Linked DNA regions of Rattus norvegicus. The protein of the gene in region 1 interacts with the protein of each later gene in a pairwise test. Links are inferred from orthologs where the notes say so. Each region holds a gene or a part of one and is shown on either strand. Other genes may lie near its edges.

The links. The genes of interacting proteins can lie anywhere in the genome.
Region 2: the proteins of Maged1 (region 1) and Rbfox1 interact in a two-hybrid assay, tested with the Homo sapiens proteins (2 studies listed by BioGRID and IntAct). The link is inferred for Rattus norvegicus from reciprocal best matches to the Homo sapiens genes MAGED1 and RBFOX1.

The regions. Positions count from the first base shown.
Region 1 is NC_086039.1:63,417,910-63,426,704, reverse strand, and holds the start of Maged1 (melanoma-associated antigen D1), read left to right. Parts: upstream 1-3,719; 5' UTR 3,720-3,820; intron 3,821-4,375; 5' UTR 4,376-4,404; coding exon 4,405-4,449; intron 4,450-5,146; coding exon 5,147-5,845; intron 5,846-6,396; coding exon 6,397-7,065; coding exon of another isoform or gene 7,066-7,096; intron 7,097-7,160; coding exon 7,161-7,224; intron 7,225-7,350; coding exon of another isoform or gene 7,351-7,377; coding exon 7,378-7,457; intron 7,458-7,606; coding exon 7,607-7,698; intron 7,699-7,914; coding exon 7,915-7,994; intron 7,995-8,085; coding exon 8,086-8,128; intron 8,129-8,273; coding exon 8,274-8,336; intron 8,337-8,642; coding exon 8,643-8,757; intron 8,758-8,795. UniProt on the Homo sapiens protein: Involved in the apoptotic response after nerve growth factor (NGF) binding in neuronal cells. Inhibits cell cycle progression, and facilitates NGFR-mediated apoptosis. May act as a regulator of the function of DLX family members.
Region 2 is NC_086028.1:8,784,876-8,792,095, forward strand, and holds part of Rbfox1 (RNA binding protein fox-1 homolog 1), read right to left. Parts: intron 3,465-7,220; coding exon 3,321-3,464; intron 1-3,320. UniProt on the Homo sapiens protein: RNA-binding protein that regulates alternative splicing events by binding to 5'-UGCAUGU-3' elements. Regulates alternative splicing of tissue-specific exons and of differentially spliced exons during erythropoiesis.

The DNA of each region.
Region 1 (8,795 bases):
GCCCTCATAGAGGCCAAAGGAGGATGTCAGGTGCTTCTGTTTTATTCCCAGGCAAAGTCTTTCATTGCCAGACAGAAAGATCCAGCAATTCTCCTGTCATCACCCCCACAACAGATGTGCAAAACCATATCAAGCTTTTTACATGTGGGTTAGGAATTTTAACTCAGATCCTCACCTTTGTGCAGCAGTGGTCTTACCAAGATCCAACATATTAAATAAAAGCAATAAAATAACCCAAATAGAAAATGGATAAAATGTATGTAGAGACATTTTACTAAAAGGGAGATTTGGGTGTGAAATTATCACGCCGAAATATATTCAGTTAACCACCAAGTGAATGCACATTAAAATCATGGTGAGCTATTCCTACACACTGTTGCTAAAAATTCTAACTTCAGATGTCACGAAAGATTTGTAGAAATTAAAGCACTTATATGTGGCTAATGGAATGTAAAATGGTTCAGCCACTCTAGGAAAGATCTGTAGCTTCTTGTAAAGCTAACACACACTTACTATAAGCTCCAGATATTGCACTGTTGTACATTTAACTCAAAGAAATGTAAATCTGTTTACGTACACACAGACAAATGTTTAAAGAAAAAAAAAAAAAAAGGAGCTAGCCCGGCAGTTTTAGCCGATGTCAGTTCAGTTCCCAGCACCCACACCAGGTGGCACACAACCACCTCTGTAACTCCAGTTCCAGGGAACGCAACTCTCTTCTGGCATCCAAAAGACAGCACATATGTGGAGTACACACCGAGAGATAAACCCACATACACTTTGAGGGAAAGTTAGAAAGACGGTACTGCTCAGAGACAAACATCTGGACAAGAAATAAGAAAAATAGGGGAGCTCAGGGGTTTTAATTAAAACAACAACAAGGAAGCAGCCTATGTAGACTCATACCCACCCCTCAGACTCTCACCTCCCACTTTCCCCTCCTAGTCCCAAGGAAAGAACCTGTGACCCTGCCTCCTTCCAGCTTTTCCTATATTTTAGTCTTTTGTCCTTCGTGGGCAGCCAGTCCCTTGCTTTTCCCCCAAAATGAACTCAGCTAACACCAGGATCCCTGTTACAACATGAGCAAACAGAAGCAGAAAAGAACGTTAAGCATTTTTAAAGAATGACGCAGAAAAAGAGTTTTTTGATAAGATAAAACACGCAAAAACGCGTATGCTCCGGGTTCTTGTCAAATGATAAAAACATGACTCTTTGATCAAGCAGGGATTTCAACAGCACGGTAACAATGCACCTCTGATAGAACTGAAAGACGAATGTGGAGTATTAAGCCAAAGAGTGCAATGTAAAATATTTTCCACATGCATACTATCTAATTTATGTAAGAAGCTGTGTGCCTGTGCTTAAAAATGCTATATGAAAAGGTAGTATAAAAGCCTTAGCCACTGGTTCAAGGTGGTGAGGATTCAAAAATGATTACTTAACTTCAATAGCATTTAGATAACATTTCCAATCGTCAGTGATGCTTATAAACTGTTTCCATAGTAAATTATGTCTTTGTATATGACAAAAAAATAAGTGAATTTATCGGGCAAAAAAAATTTCCACTCAGGCTCCTCGTTTTAGCAATGGGGTAGATTGTGTGATTCATTCATTTATCAAACAATCTTTATTGAGAATATAAAATGTACTAGGCATTGTTCATCGTGCTGAAGGTACAACAATGAATAAATTAGGCAAACTCCACATCCCTAAAGGAGTTCCCAATCTCATGTGACAAAAAGAACAAAACTAAAGGAAACAGTGGTGAGGAGGATATGTGTGTGTGCCTGCGTGTGTGTGTGTGTGTGTGTGTGTGTGTGTGTGTGTGTATAAATTTGGAAATAATTTTGAGAATATCAAAAATATCCACCTGGAGAAGGGAGTGGGCAGCAGGGTACGAGTCTACGCGGTATAGGCTGGCCCATGACTGAAGATACAGACACAGAAGGAAGCAGATGATACATAAAATGGCACCTCAGACCTCCTTTCCCGAGTCTGATCACGTCCCACTGCAGACACTTTACAGAGGAAGTGCTGAGGAAAAACAGGCAGCTGACAGGGGAGGTTGCTATGCAACAGATGAGGGAAGTCATCCAGCCTGGCAGAATTGATGTTGGCCCTTGGGGACAGAATGCTGCGGTCCTTCCTAGCATTAGCTTGCTTTCATATGCAGGCTCCTGTCAGGAGCTGACGCCAGAATAAATGGGAAATGCGCTCAGATCTGCCTGGGGTTTCGGGAACGTATGGGTTTGGTTTGAGTCACCACATCTGTATGCCATTTTTCTGCGTTTGTTTCTCCAGCCATGTTGGCACAGCAGACTGTGTGTCCTTGGACACGACTCTCTTCCTGGGATTCCTATTTTGTGTAGTGAGTAAATTAGGCTCAGAGAGGTCCACTAAAGTGACCATGTCTCAGGGGCTCACACAGCCAGAGACAGATAGGCCAGACACTCATCTTGGAATTCTAAAGCCAAGCCCAGCTTCATTCCGCAAGAACAGGGCAGACACACCTGACTACCCTGGCTGCTCCAGCAGGCACCAAAAAAGCCCGCCGTCTCACTCCTGGAGACTGCCTGCCAAGAGGAGCACAGAGTGAACCTGAAGGGTTCCCACATACACCAGGCCTCCTAGAACACAAGCCTCATTCCCTTGGAACAAATATTGGGGAGAGGAAAGCTTGTTATTCCAATAGAGGATTAAGGAATGCCTCTATTCTCAGAGCAGATTTTCAGTCAGGATCATCCAGGCCCCACATGGATGTTTGTTTGTCTTTTAGATAAAGTCTCAGAGTTGCAAAGCTGGCCTAGAACTCGGTCTCCGGAGTGCTGGGATTACCAGTGTGTTTAAGCAAATATTGTCTTTTCTGTTTGTTACTAGCTCAATGCCCTGGTCCATACAGCGGGTTTACGTTTTAGCTACCTGACGTGTTAAATGAGAATGTTGACCTCCATCCATCTCCTGAGGCTGCCTGTGAGAAAACCAAGCTCCAGGACAGAGCCCACTGCCCTACGCCCTTCCCTCACCTCTCGGACCCACCCCTCACGAAATATTTCTTTGGCAAAAACTGCAAAAAGGGCGAGAGAAACGCTAATTTTCTGAGTCTCGTGAGAGGAAACCTATAGAATCCCCAGGCTGACCCTTGCCCTGGTAGCTCTGTCACGTTTTGTTTTTGTTTTTTTTTTTTTTTTTGCCCCTGCCTTTAAGGTTTCTGCATTGCAAAGTGCGTGAACTCAGCAGAGGCCTAGTTTGTGTCGAAATAAGAGACCCCCCGCAGAGGCCTACCTAAGAGGCTCTAAGCAAGTGGGTGGGAGGTAGTTGCGGACCTGGCTAGAGAGAGTTCGGGAAAAAGGGCGGGACTGAGAAGAGACGCATTGCGGATAAAGGTAGGGGGCTGGTGTGTTGGGCAAGGGGGTGGGACCAAAAGGCGCTGCGCATCTGTTGAAGGAGTGGATGCGTAAGGAGAAGGGGAGGAGGAACCTTTGTACACTGTCAACCTGGTTGGCGGTGGGATAGTGTGCTGGCAAAGAGGCGGGATCTCCTCCAAGTGCACATGCGCGACAAGGTCTCCAGGATGAAGCTTTTGTTGGGAAAGCAAGCGGGACTCTTATTTGGACAGTGATCTGTTGCGCATGCGCGGGGCTTCCTGAGGCGGTGGGTGGTATATTAGGCGAAGAGGCGGGGTCGCCCGAGCTGCCGCGCTGGCATTTTCTCCTGGACAAGGAGAGAGTGCGGGTGCAGAGAGCGGAGCAGAGCAGTCCCGATCCTCTGAGTCGTGAAGAAGGAAGCAACGAAGGGGGTTGGGGTTGGGGCCTGAGGCAAGGTGAGACCCGCCCCCGGACTGGGCATCTGCCCCCCTGGTGTGGCGCCCTTCCCCCATTCTTTTATCCCAATCCCCTTTCCCTGAATTCAGAAACCCCCTCCTCTGCCTTACCCCGGACTTACACCTCGCTCCCGACCCTTTCTAATTCGAACTCCCGTTCATTCCCTGAATCTTTATCCAATTCCTTCACTGAATCCTATTTCCCGACCTTGATCCGTTATACGATTCCTCTAGATTCAAAGCCTTAATTCAACTTTACAGACGCGAACCTCTCCCCGCTAACCGCCCCCCCCCCCGCCCCTGTAAACTACCGCATTCAGAGCGCTTATCTGATTCCAAACCGCGGATTTGAAGCTTTTACCTGTCAGCTTCTGGAAATTTTAGATTGTCTATCGGGACGACCATTTACTTTTCCCGCTTCAGTTAGGCCTGTTTCTCCCCGTACCCAGCACCTCACCCGCCCCCATAATCAAACCACACGCGCACACACAATTCGGTCCTACGTATTTTCCTTCTGTAGTATAATGCCTAGTTCCTCTCCCACACCCCCCTCAGGCTCTGCTCTTGCCAGAGAGACAAGAGCTATGGCTCAGAAACCGGACGGCGGTGCAGGCCTCCGCGGCTTCCAGGTGAGAACCCCGCTCCCAATTCCTCCATTTTCCTTGCTGACAGATTACGCCCACCCCTGGCCCCTCAGGTCGCGCAAATGGCAGGATCTGATTTTGCCCTTCTTCCGGCCTAGACTCCGCGGGCTCTCAAATTTCTAGCGTTTATCGAATAGGGGGGAGGGGCGGCCCTTTTCAGCCATCGGTCCCTGCTTAGAGAAAGGGGAGACCCTGTTAGTCAGGGCATTCTGCCCAGAGAATGCGGGTTGGGTAAGGAACCATTTTTTTTCCATAACCCTGACGCGTGTAGAGCAGTCTGTCGCCCCATCCCCCAACCTCTCGCCTCCACCCTCCCTTTCTCCACGCCGCGAGACTCCCCCTCCACCCTCCTCTGTTTATCCTCCTCAATTCCTCCGTCCTCAGGTCTTGAGCTCCCCACGGCAAGCCTCACGAGTCTGTCTCTAAACCCATTCGGGGTTCAGTGCTTGCACCACATTCCGCACCAGCCCCTGCTGCCTCCGACTGTCCCTCACCTTGCCCTGCCCCCTCTACCTTTAATTAAATTTTGTTCCCGCCCCGCCTCCCTTTGACCCGCCTCTGCCCCCATGTCTGAGTACTGTAACGCCTGTCTACAGTTCCCCTGCTGCGTTGCGCCGTGCCCCTCCTTCAGGTCTGGCTTGTAAGGCCCAGAGATTAAAATTTCCCCCTCCTGTATTTGCAGGCAGAGGCCTCTGTAGAAGACAGCGCCTTGCTTGTGCAGACCTTGATGGAAGCCATCCAGATCTCCGAGGCTCCGCCCACCAGCCAGGCCACAGCAGCTGCCAGTGGGCCGAATGCTAGTCCCCAGAGTTCACAGCCCCCAACTGCCAATGAGAAGGCTGATACTGAGGTTTCAGCAGCTGCTGCCAGGCCTAAGACAGGCTTTAAGGCCCAGAATACCACCACAAAGGGGCCAAATGATTACTCTCAGGCACGTAATGCCAAGGAGATGCCCAAGAATCAGCCTAAGGTGGCCTTTAAGTCACAGAATGCCACCTCTAAAGGTCCACATGCTGCCTCTGATTTTTCCCATGCAGCATCCACAGGCAAATCAGCAGCTAAAAAGTCTGAAATGGCCTTTAAGGGTCAGAATACCACTACTAAGGCTGGCCCCAGTGCCACCTACAATTTCACTCAGTCTCCCAGTGCCAATGAGATGACCAACAACCAGCCTAAGACAGCTAAGGCTTGGAATGACACCACTAAGATCCCTGGAGCTGATGCCCAGACCCAGAATGTAAACCAGGCCAAAATGGCTGACGTAGGGACCAGTGCAGGTATCTCTGAAACTGACGGTGCAGCAGCCCAGACCTCAGCAGATGGCTCCCAGGCTCAGAATGTGGAGTCCCGGACTATAATTCGGGGCAAGAGGACCCGCAAGGTGAGATCCCTGCTGGCTTCCCTTTGCTTTGAGGTCTCTCCTTTCTTTGAATTTCCTTTGCTCCAAACAAAATAAAGGGCACATATATATCTCTATTTTGGCAAAGTTGTAGGGGGAGCTGAAATAAATATTTATTCCTGACCCCCGGTTGTCCACAGATTAATGATGAGTTGATACAAGGACACAGGCAGTATGTGTGCAGACCGTCTTACATTTGACAGTAAACACCATGTCTTAAGCTAGGCAGGCTCACCCAGAATTATCATTAGATTTTGAAGATCCACCTCACAAGCAAGAGAGACCACAGTCAGGGAGAAATGAGTTCAGGGTGAAACCAAGCAGTGCACAGGAAAGGGAGAAACCCCGGGCTCCACTTTGTGTTTTTCTTTCTCTGGTTTGGAGATGAAATGCTTTCCTGAAAGACAGTGAGGAACCAAGTGGCTAATGGCTAGTGAGGTATAGGTGAGGATTCCTAGGGACTTCCTAGGATAGCTACTGGGGGTGCCAGGATTAATAGTGACCCTGAAATTTTCTTCTCTCTAATGATACAGATTAATAACTTGAATGTGGAAGAGAACAGCAATGGGGACCAAAGGCGTGCCTCGCTGGCTTCCGGGAACTGGAGGTCTGCTCCGGTTCCAGTAACCACTCAGAACCCACCTGGCGCACCCCCTAATGTGCTGTGGCAGACACCACTGGCTTGGCAGAACCCATCAGGCTGGCAAAACCAGACAGCCAGGCAGACCCCACCAGCACGTCAGAGTCCCCCAGCTAGGCAGACACCATCAGCTTGGCAGAACCCCGTTGCATGGCAGAATCCAGTGATCTGGCCTAACCCAGTGATCTGGCAGAATCCAGTGATCTGGCCAAACCCCATTGTCTGGCCTGGCCCAATTGTCTGGCCAAACCCAATGGCCTGGCAGAGTACACCTGGATGGCAGAGCCCACCCAGTTGGCAGGCTCCACCTAGTTGGCAGAGCCCTCAAGATTGGCAAGGCCCTCCAGATTGGCAGTTACCACCTGACTGGTCAATGCCTCCTGACTGGTCCTTTCCCTCTGACTGGCCTTTTCCACCTGACTGGATCCCTGCCGACTGGCCAATTCCACCCGACTGGCAGAACTTACGACCCTCACCTAATCTGAGATCCTCCCCCAACTCTCGTGCCTCACAGAACCAGGGTCCTCCACAGCCCCGAGATGTGGCCCTTCTTCAGGAAAGAGTAAGTGCTATACCTCTCCACTTTGTTTACTGTGGTCCTTCCATTTGTAATCAACCAAGTGTTCTGCAAACCTAATTTGAATTATTTCCCCCCAGGCAAATAAGCTGGTCAAGTACTTGATGCTTAAAGACTACACGAAGGTGCCCATCAAGCGCTCAGGTAGGCCCTTCTCCTGACCCTGATGTCCTGTCCACTCCCTCCCATAGCTGATTCTACCTCTGAGGAGCCTGACCGGGCTGTCCTTACCAGGCCTGGCCAAGGGGCTGCTACTGTGCTCCAGCTCAGTCCTGGTGCTTCCCTTCTCTCCTACAGAAATGCTGAGAGATATCATCCGAGAATACACTGATGTTTATCCAGAAATCATTGAACGCGCATGCTTTGTCCTGGAGAAGGTAAAGAGCCACACCTGGGAAACTAGAATGACGGTCAAATTCTCCATTGTGTGAGATAACTACTGGAGTTGAGGACAAGGTTCACAGCGCTGTGACTGCCTGCCTATTGGCACGTTATGCTAAGTGCTGTCATTTGCTTGCTTCTGTAGAAATTTGGAATCCAGCTCAAGGAAATCGACAAAGAAGAGCATCTGTATATCCTCATCAGTACCCCTGAATCCCTGGCTGGCATACTGGGAACGTAAGATGGGAAAGGGGATGTGTTATGGCCTTCCTTGGTGATGCTTTTTGCCTAAGAGTTTCAGTATTCAGTCACATAGGAGGTCATGGGCAGAGTGGGGGCATAATGATCTCCACTGAGGAATACTGGAGAAGCTAAATTGGTAAGCTTGTGGGGTTTTTCGTGTAAACAGCTGCTGGGTGTGTATATATCTGTATTCTTTTTGTACTCCTCTAGGACCAAAGACACACCGAAGCTAGGCCTCCTCTTAGTGATTCTGGGCATTATCTTCATGAATGGCAACCGTGCCACTGAGGGTGAGTGACTGGACTTGGAGCTGGGGGTTGGCTGCAGTCTGATTTCCATGCTCACTTTCCATGCCTTCTCTCTTCTTGCCTCCTATTGCAGCCGTCCTCTGGGAAGCACTGCGCAAGATGGGACTACGTCCTGGGTACGACTGGGCTCCTTCATCTGAAGTATCCTTTAGCAGCAGGGGATGTCTTAAATTATGATGAGATTAGATAGGAAGACAGTCTGTAACTCTCTAGTTTTCTTCAGGCAGAATCTCTGATTGTCGTTTTCTTTTTCACCATCAGGGTCAGACATCCCCTCCTTGGCGATCTGAGGAAACTTCTTACTTACGAGTTTGTAAAGCAGAAGTAAGTGGTCCTTAGAATTCTGGCTCTGCTTGGTCTGCATCAGAAAAGGTTCTTTAAACGTGACTTACAGCACTCCTGTAGGTTCACAGAATTATCCAGAAGTGTTTACTGAAGACACGCTTTGAGGTGGAATGTTTTTACAGCATAGTTATTAGTAAAGCCTGTCCTCTTTTCTCATAGTACACATTCTCAGGAAAGAGTAGTAGTCCAAGATGATAAAAACCTGAAGCAGCAACTTTAGCACAGTATTATTTAGCATGTATTTTGTTGCAGACTGCCCATAAACACAGACTTTTTCCTCTTCAGATACCTGGACTACAGACGAGTGCCCAACAGCAACCCTCCTGAGTATGAGTTCCTCTGGGGCCTCCGCTCCTACCATGAGACTAGCAAGATGAAAGTGCTGAGATTCATTGCAGAGGTAATAGCGGAATCCATGGTAGCTTAATCGGGTTCAGT
Region 2 (7,220 bases), on another chromosome or scaffold:
CCAATCATGACTCTCTGAGAGCTAACATATTAAATTGGGGGATAGATAATGGCAAAATCTTCTCCAATGTCAAGGTTGTAAATTCTCTAACTGCTTGTCAGAAGATGTATTAAATAAAATATACTTATTGAACACTATCTAAGGGCAAGAAAAGTTTAAATATGCTGTTGTATGCTAGCATCCCCAATATTTTGGAGGATGAGGCAGGGAGATGGAGTTTGGGGCCAACCTGTGCTACTCAGCAAGTTTGAAGTCAGTTTTTCATCCAGAGTCAGAGTTCACCTCCAAAACCAGCAAAATAAAGCAGAACAAATGAAAGAAAGCAAATGTGAAGGGATGTGCTCCAGCAGACCTCAAGAGACTCACAGTGAGGCCTGAGGTCACTTAGTGATCCCACAGAAACATCTAGAACAAGTGATCTGAACAACCACACTAGCCCCATCCACTCATACCGCTATGGATGATATGAAATTACTTGAGACACTATCTTATACCTTGTAACACATCCATTTCCCCCAAGGAATGAATATACCAGCGTGCCAGGAAATGTAACGTGAAGCACAATGTAAGGGCAACCTCAGAAGAAGTACCCCTCCCTGACAAAGATGGCGGTGAACAAGGGGAAAAGAGCAATGAAGAGAATCACCTCTGATACCAATCTCACTGGAGAGGCCCAGAAAGCACATACTGAACCAAGAGATACCTGTAGAAACCATTAGGCAAGTGACTGTTGTGCAAAACATAGGGGAGAGTTTCTGCACTGGGAGAAGCTGGGCACAGCCAAGTCCTAGGCAATTCGAAAGAGGGTTCTTTGTGTCTTGTTATGTTTTTGACATTGAAATTTCTGTGTTTCCTTGGACCAACAGAGTCAATGGGGGCAGGAAGCACAAGGATCATTGCAGTTTTTTCTAATTATCCTCAACCCTGCCCTAGCAAGGAGAGCAGAAAACAAAAGATAGCAAGCAAAAGAGAGACACTGTCTCATGGCCAGAGGAAGCTCACTGGGACTAAACCATGGATGCTTACAGTAACTAAGATCTGAAAGAGGAAACTGTGTTGAGTCCCCTAAACTGCACCATGGAGAGCCAAGCAGAATGTTCCAGATGCCTCTCAGTGTGATTCATGCTGCTAAATGTATCATATTATAGAACGGCTTTGTGACCACCCATATTCATGTTAGGAAAATTCCATTTCTTTAAAATAGCAGTTGTAAAATTGAAAGAGGACTCCCAAGCTACTGCAAGTGGTCCAGAAACCATATGGCCCAGTGATTTTTATAGATGAAACCCACACCACACAAACTCCACACATACTCTTTAACATAGACACAGATGTTGTTTGTGATAAGTAGAATTAATTTCAGTGTTCATAAACGTATACCGCACTCCCTTAACTGACAGATGCTAAGGGTATATCTATCATCAGAGCAAATGAACATCTTGTTAGCTAGCTGCATGAGAATTTTGACTCAAAAGAAGAAGAAGAAAAAACCCTTGTTTTTGAAACAAATAGATTTTGATCTGGATCTGGACCAGGTAGCATGTCACATGACAGATTTTTTTTCCCTCTGGGCCATCTGTCCTAACCCTAAAGGACAAAGAGATTCAGACATTAACACTTGCAGCATCTCCTCTGTATGACTTCCAGCTGTGAGTATTTTGATGACATCTCTGACTTATCCCTGTAGCCTCAGGTAAAGTTCAAGATAATCAAAAAAGTCCAGGCAAGAAAATAGACCCTTAAGGGTGAGAAACTGGGGTTAGCTGCCTGGCATGTCACCATGAAGAATTTCGAGAGTGGCCATTAAGAGGATACAGTTCAAAGCCAGCATCACAGTGACACTTGATGAATAAAGACAGACCGGATAGCAAGACATCCCTCTGGCTTGACATGGCAAAGAGAATATAACTCCTGCAGCTACCCATCAGTCAAGCTGGTCCCACTGCTTTGCACACACTTAACCTCGACTCTAACTTCGAATGCTCTGCATTTTTCAAAGTCATCTTTGACCTGAGAGTGCCCGAGGGTATCTTCGTTCTGCAAGAGTTAGAGGGCTTAACTCAAGGTTATTACTAAATGAGAGAGCGATAAAAGTGCAAAAGTTGACCTTTTCCTCTGAAATGTCAGGACTCAAGCCTGGGTCTCTTAAATATTAGGATGCCTGCTCTGCTTTTGTGTCACACGCATACTTGATAAGCAGTGTGTGTGTGTGTGTGTGTGTGTGTGTGTGTGTGTGTGTGTGTGTGTGTTAATGAAATAAAAACAAAAGATCCAAGCTCATCTCCCCAAATCATGAAGCTCCTGAGTTATAGACCAGGGCTTCCTGTTCATGCAGAGAATCATATGAACTTTGCTCACAATGGACATGGCCTCTTTATTGTTTTTGCCATAGAGCTCTCCACAAACTCTTAGAGGAGTCTCCAGGCAGCCCACCTTTGTTCTGAGTCAAATGTTAAGGATGTAGTTCTTTGGTTGAAGGCACAGATGCTTATGACCACTACTGGGATGTCATGGATAAACAGAAGGACTACATTTCGAAACACAAAACATTATCTGAGCCTTGTCAAAGCTTTGTCCTTTGCCACAGCAGAGACTAAATAAATAATAAACTCTTCCCTTCCCTGGGTAGATTGTTCAAACATCTTCTAGAAAAATATTCAGGGTCATGATGACCTGTGAGAAAGCAAAGTCGTCAGTCATGTATTTCCTTGGGGTAAACAGTGGCTTCTGGCTAGTTCTGTTTCACTATGGTGCCTAGACCAGGCTGCCCTTTGCTGCATACTAAATACCCTTGATGTTTCATCCAGGAAACGGTATGATGCAAAAATCAAATCAGATTTAGAAACTGGTAGTTTTGTTGTTGGTGGGGGTGGCTGATTTTGAAAACCTAGCTTTATGCTGAACTAGCCATTCACCACAGCTGCAGTACAGTGCCTGGGGGACAATTGGGAGAGAGTCGCTCCTGGGTTACTTTTCCTGGGTAAGCAGGAAAGGGCTTCAACATTTATTTTAGTTATAAAGTGAGGTCCTGGGCTGCTGGATTTGGGATCATCAATAGACCTTATCATCCTTAATAGATGAGCCTATTTTCTGCTTGACATTTAAGTTACTTATTAGAAGACGAGCAATTGTCAAAGCAGAAACCCCATGAGCTCAACTAAAACAAATAAACATATCCTGCCACCCCTAAGGGGACCTCCCACTCTAAACTCAGGACTTAGATGTAAAATGCCTTCACCCCATAACAACATTCTACCTTAGAATGATAAGTTCTCAGAACTCCCACAAGGAGGAAACCCGAGGATGAAGGTAGTACTTACGCCAAACATTTGTCGGAGGTCTGGATCCCGGAACCGGAAGGGGATGTTGGACACATGCAGCCGCTTGGGCTGGGACTTGTTTTCTGTGTTTTCAGAAGGTTGTGTCTGGGGCTGGCCGTCGGTCGGGGCGGCATCATCTGTCTGCTAAAAGAACAAGAAGAAAGAAAAGTTGCTGAGTAAGTCCCAATATCCTCTCCCATCCCGTTTAGGGCAGGATGCGGTCCGTAAGCGCTCGCTCCCACAGCCTGCTCCTTTCTCCTACATGGCAGGATGCTATCCGACAGAGATTTTTGGTCCTTTTTCTAAAATTTTAATTAACAGCAAAAAAAGAGTTTGTTTTGAGCATCCACTGAGTGCCCACACATGAATCTTTGATTACATATCAATCAAAGCAGTCAAAAGCCCCTGGCGTCATGCAGTGCAACGATCATGGGGCAAGGCACGATAAAAACCGTTCATAAATAGATATAGAATTGGGAAGAAGGAGATAAGCATTGTAGGAAAAATAAAGGAAGCATGAGGGGCTGGGGGTTCAGGGTGGGTAGTGGAAAACTCATCAAAAAGGGAGTAAAGATCATTAAAAATGAGAACATGTATCCCTCAGTGCTGGCCAGAGTCTTAATGCTACGCATACAAAAATACTGAGGCTGTACAGGTAAAATATTAATAAATGTCAAAAATTTGCAAAGGCCCTTTGGTGGTCTGTACTTCATCCAGTGAATAGATGATTCACTCAACTTTATAAAAATATTTGTTAACTTAGCTTCTTCATTGTACGAATCTATATTGTCTACTGCCACGGACCCTATGAGATCATTTCAAGGAATGGACACAAAATAACGCATAAAGGAGTTTGCATTTCTTGCATTTGAAATGCTCAGTAGCCACACGTAGGTAGTGCCTGTGTTTGGGAGAAAAAAACGCAAAAACAGAATATTGCCATCTGTACAAATGCTCTGCTAGGCTATGCCGATGCAGATGATGTAAGGCTACTAGCTTGGCCCGCTATTTCTTTCTGTTCGTCATTCAGAAAGGTTAGGGAGGGGCTGGGGATTTAGCTCAGTGGTAGAGCGCTTGCCTAGGAAGCGCAAGGTCCTGGGTTAGGTCCCCAGCTCCGAAAAAAAGAACCAAAAAAAAAAAAAAAGAAAAAAAAGAAAGGTTAGGGAACTTTGTTTTTCTGTACTTTCTCTGCAATTAGCACATTCTGCCTGTAGGTGGCAGTAGACACAGTTCACTTAAGTATGTCTTTAAAACTACTGTTGGAGGGTCTTTGCCAAAGCTGAAATTCACGAGCAAGGAATCATCCTCATCTATTTATGAGCAATTTAGAGGCATATAACTAGGACAAAAACTATCAGTGCAGGCAGCCAGGTGTAAAATAATAGAGACTTAGAGGAGACAATCTTACATAGTGAAATGTGAAAGGAACACCCAAATAACAGGAGCATAATTAGCAGTCTCTCTGCAGCTCTCCTGTGGGCTAGAATAGTTTATTGGCGTCCTCCTTCCCCTTGCACCCTGAATTACATGTTTAAGTTGAGCCCTCCTGGCACCTTGTGCACCACCCATCTAAACCGATTTGGTCTCTGAAACCCTACCAGACGCCTTTGTCAATTTTCAAGTACAAGGCGACCCTGACAGCCATGTTATTTTGCTTGAGATGTGAAGAGGATGTGGGAAGAGTTAGGAAAACAAAACCAAATATAATGCAGGCAGTACATTGTGGGGGTGCAAGCTGAGTACGCTCAAGTCGCACTTGCCACTGGAGGTCCCAGGACACATCAACTCTAGCTTAGTAGAGATGTGTACGAGGAGAGGTGGAGGGGACAGATTCTGTGCCAGAAGAGGGCAATGCATGTGTGAAGAAAGAAAGAAGGAAGGAGAAGTCTGCCACCTTGGGGAGGCCATGTAGAGCCAGAGAGAATAAACAGAGGATGGGCAGAGAGGCAACTTGAGAGGCAGGTAGAAGTTGTAGACCTAAAATAGCCTTGTATACAAAAGCAAGTGGCTGTTAGAAGCCACTTAAAGATGACAAGAGGACTGAGTTGTGACCGGCATGCTACGTAGATGTTAAATGCATGTTGAGTGATTGGCTGATGCGGTGACAGACTGAGAGTATGAAAGATTGGTGCACCACTAATAAATGAATAATAAATACAGGGGCGAGCATCACCGGTGTCAGCTTTGAGTGCCAGTTAATGAATAGCTATGGAGGCTGGCGGAGGTCCACTTGGTGACGTGCTTGCCGTACAATCATGAGGCTTGAGTTTGTGTTCCTAGAACCTGCATAAAACTGGGCATGGTGGTTCATGCATGTGATCTCAGCATTCCTACAGTGAAATAGGTGGTGGATACAGCACTATTCTTGAAAGTGCACAGGCAGCTGGTCTTGTTTGTACAGCAATAAGGAGAGACTTTCTCAAACAAGAGATGATCTGACACTTGAAGCTGCCCTTCGATCTCCACATGCACATCATGGCATGATACACACACACACACACACACACACACACACACACACCATCATTCCATAACCCAGAGACCCACACAGACTATTCACTGTGTTTTGCTTTTGTTTTTTGTTTTTCCTAGTAACAGCACATTGGGTTCCACATCAATGACAAAAAAAATCACCTTTAAACCATGATGTTACTACCTTGCCAAAGACTAAGAGGTTTCAATGCCCTACCACAAGACCCTAAGTTGGCACGATCAATAGCTAAGATCCCACGTTTCCAATCTACTTTCCCCACCCTATTGGAAATTGCTATGTGAATAAAAAATTAAAATGAGTTTCTCCTCCTCCCAGGAAAGGGACTTAGACTTGGATTTGTGCACAATTGCTGAATGGCTCAGTTTAATAAACCTAATTAGGAATTACAGAGATTATGATTAAACATATTAAATGATTAATAGCATTATGCTGCTCATGTAAAAATTAAAATTAATCATCTCTAGTCAAACAGGACTTTGGAGAAATCTTTGTGGTGTTTCCTTTGATAAAAACATACAATGCTTGATTAATCATTTTGTAGTGTACACATTTATACAAATACCCATAAATTGTTATATAGGCATACCTATGGCAGAAATAATTTTTTTTACTGAAAATAAGTAAAATGAAATCCAAATTTGTATAGGTTGGTGAGAAGGAGTGAATAGAGCCTCTATGGGATGAGAGAGAGAAGCAAAGGAGAGCATTCCAAGCCGAGCATGCCTGTGCCCAAGGTGATGAGTTACGTGGCAACCAGGGCTATGGAGTTGCTCCCTGCAATATGCAATCCTACTGTAACCAATGGATAATTCAGATCAGGGCCCTTTACATCTCTGTGCCAGTGTTTACTCATCTATGAGAGTACAATGATAGTCCATGCCCTCCAGGCTTAGGACAAGGATCAAAATGTGAGGGTAGGTACAAGTGGCTATCACTTCAGATCAAGGAGTGGCCACCATATATACTGACAAGAGTACTTCCAACTTTGTTTGGGGCCTAAGTGGGCCTTTTCTACACGTGTCTCTTAGAATCTTCAGGGAAAGCATACCGGGGACAGTCCTGTGCTTTTCTATGACTGCTAGGGTTTAGATTTGGTATGTCATCTGCATGGGTGAGCTACAGGCTTGCTAAGTAACCGTTTTGTGTTTGGGAGTGAGCAGCACCCGGAAAGGTGAAGTGCCATGGAAGGAAGTGAAGTCACTGGCATCATTACACCTTAACCTGCTCCTTGTTTCTTCATACTGCTACCATCGAATGCACGGCCCTTCTCTGTACCTCTCCACAGTGTGCTGTGCGCCAATGACCAAGGGTCAAAAGCTCTGAAACCATCAGCGAATGCCCCTCCTTGGTTTATGAGCTGCCGTACTATCACGAACAACATGATCTCTGGGTTTGTCCCTGATTGG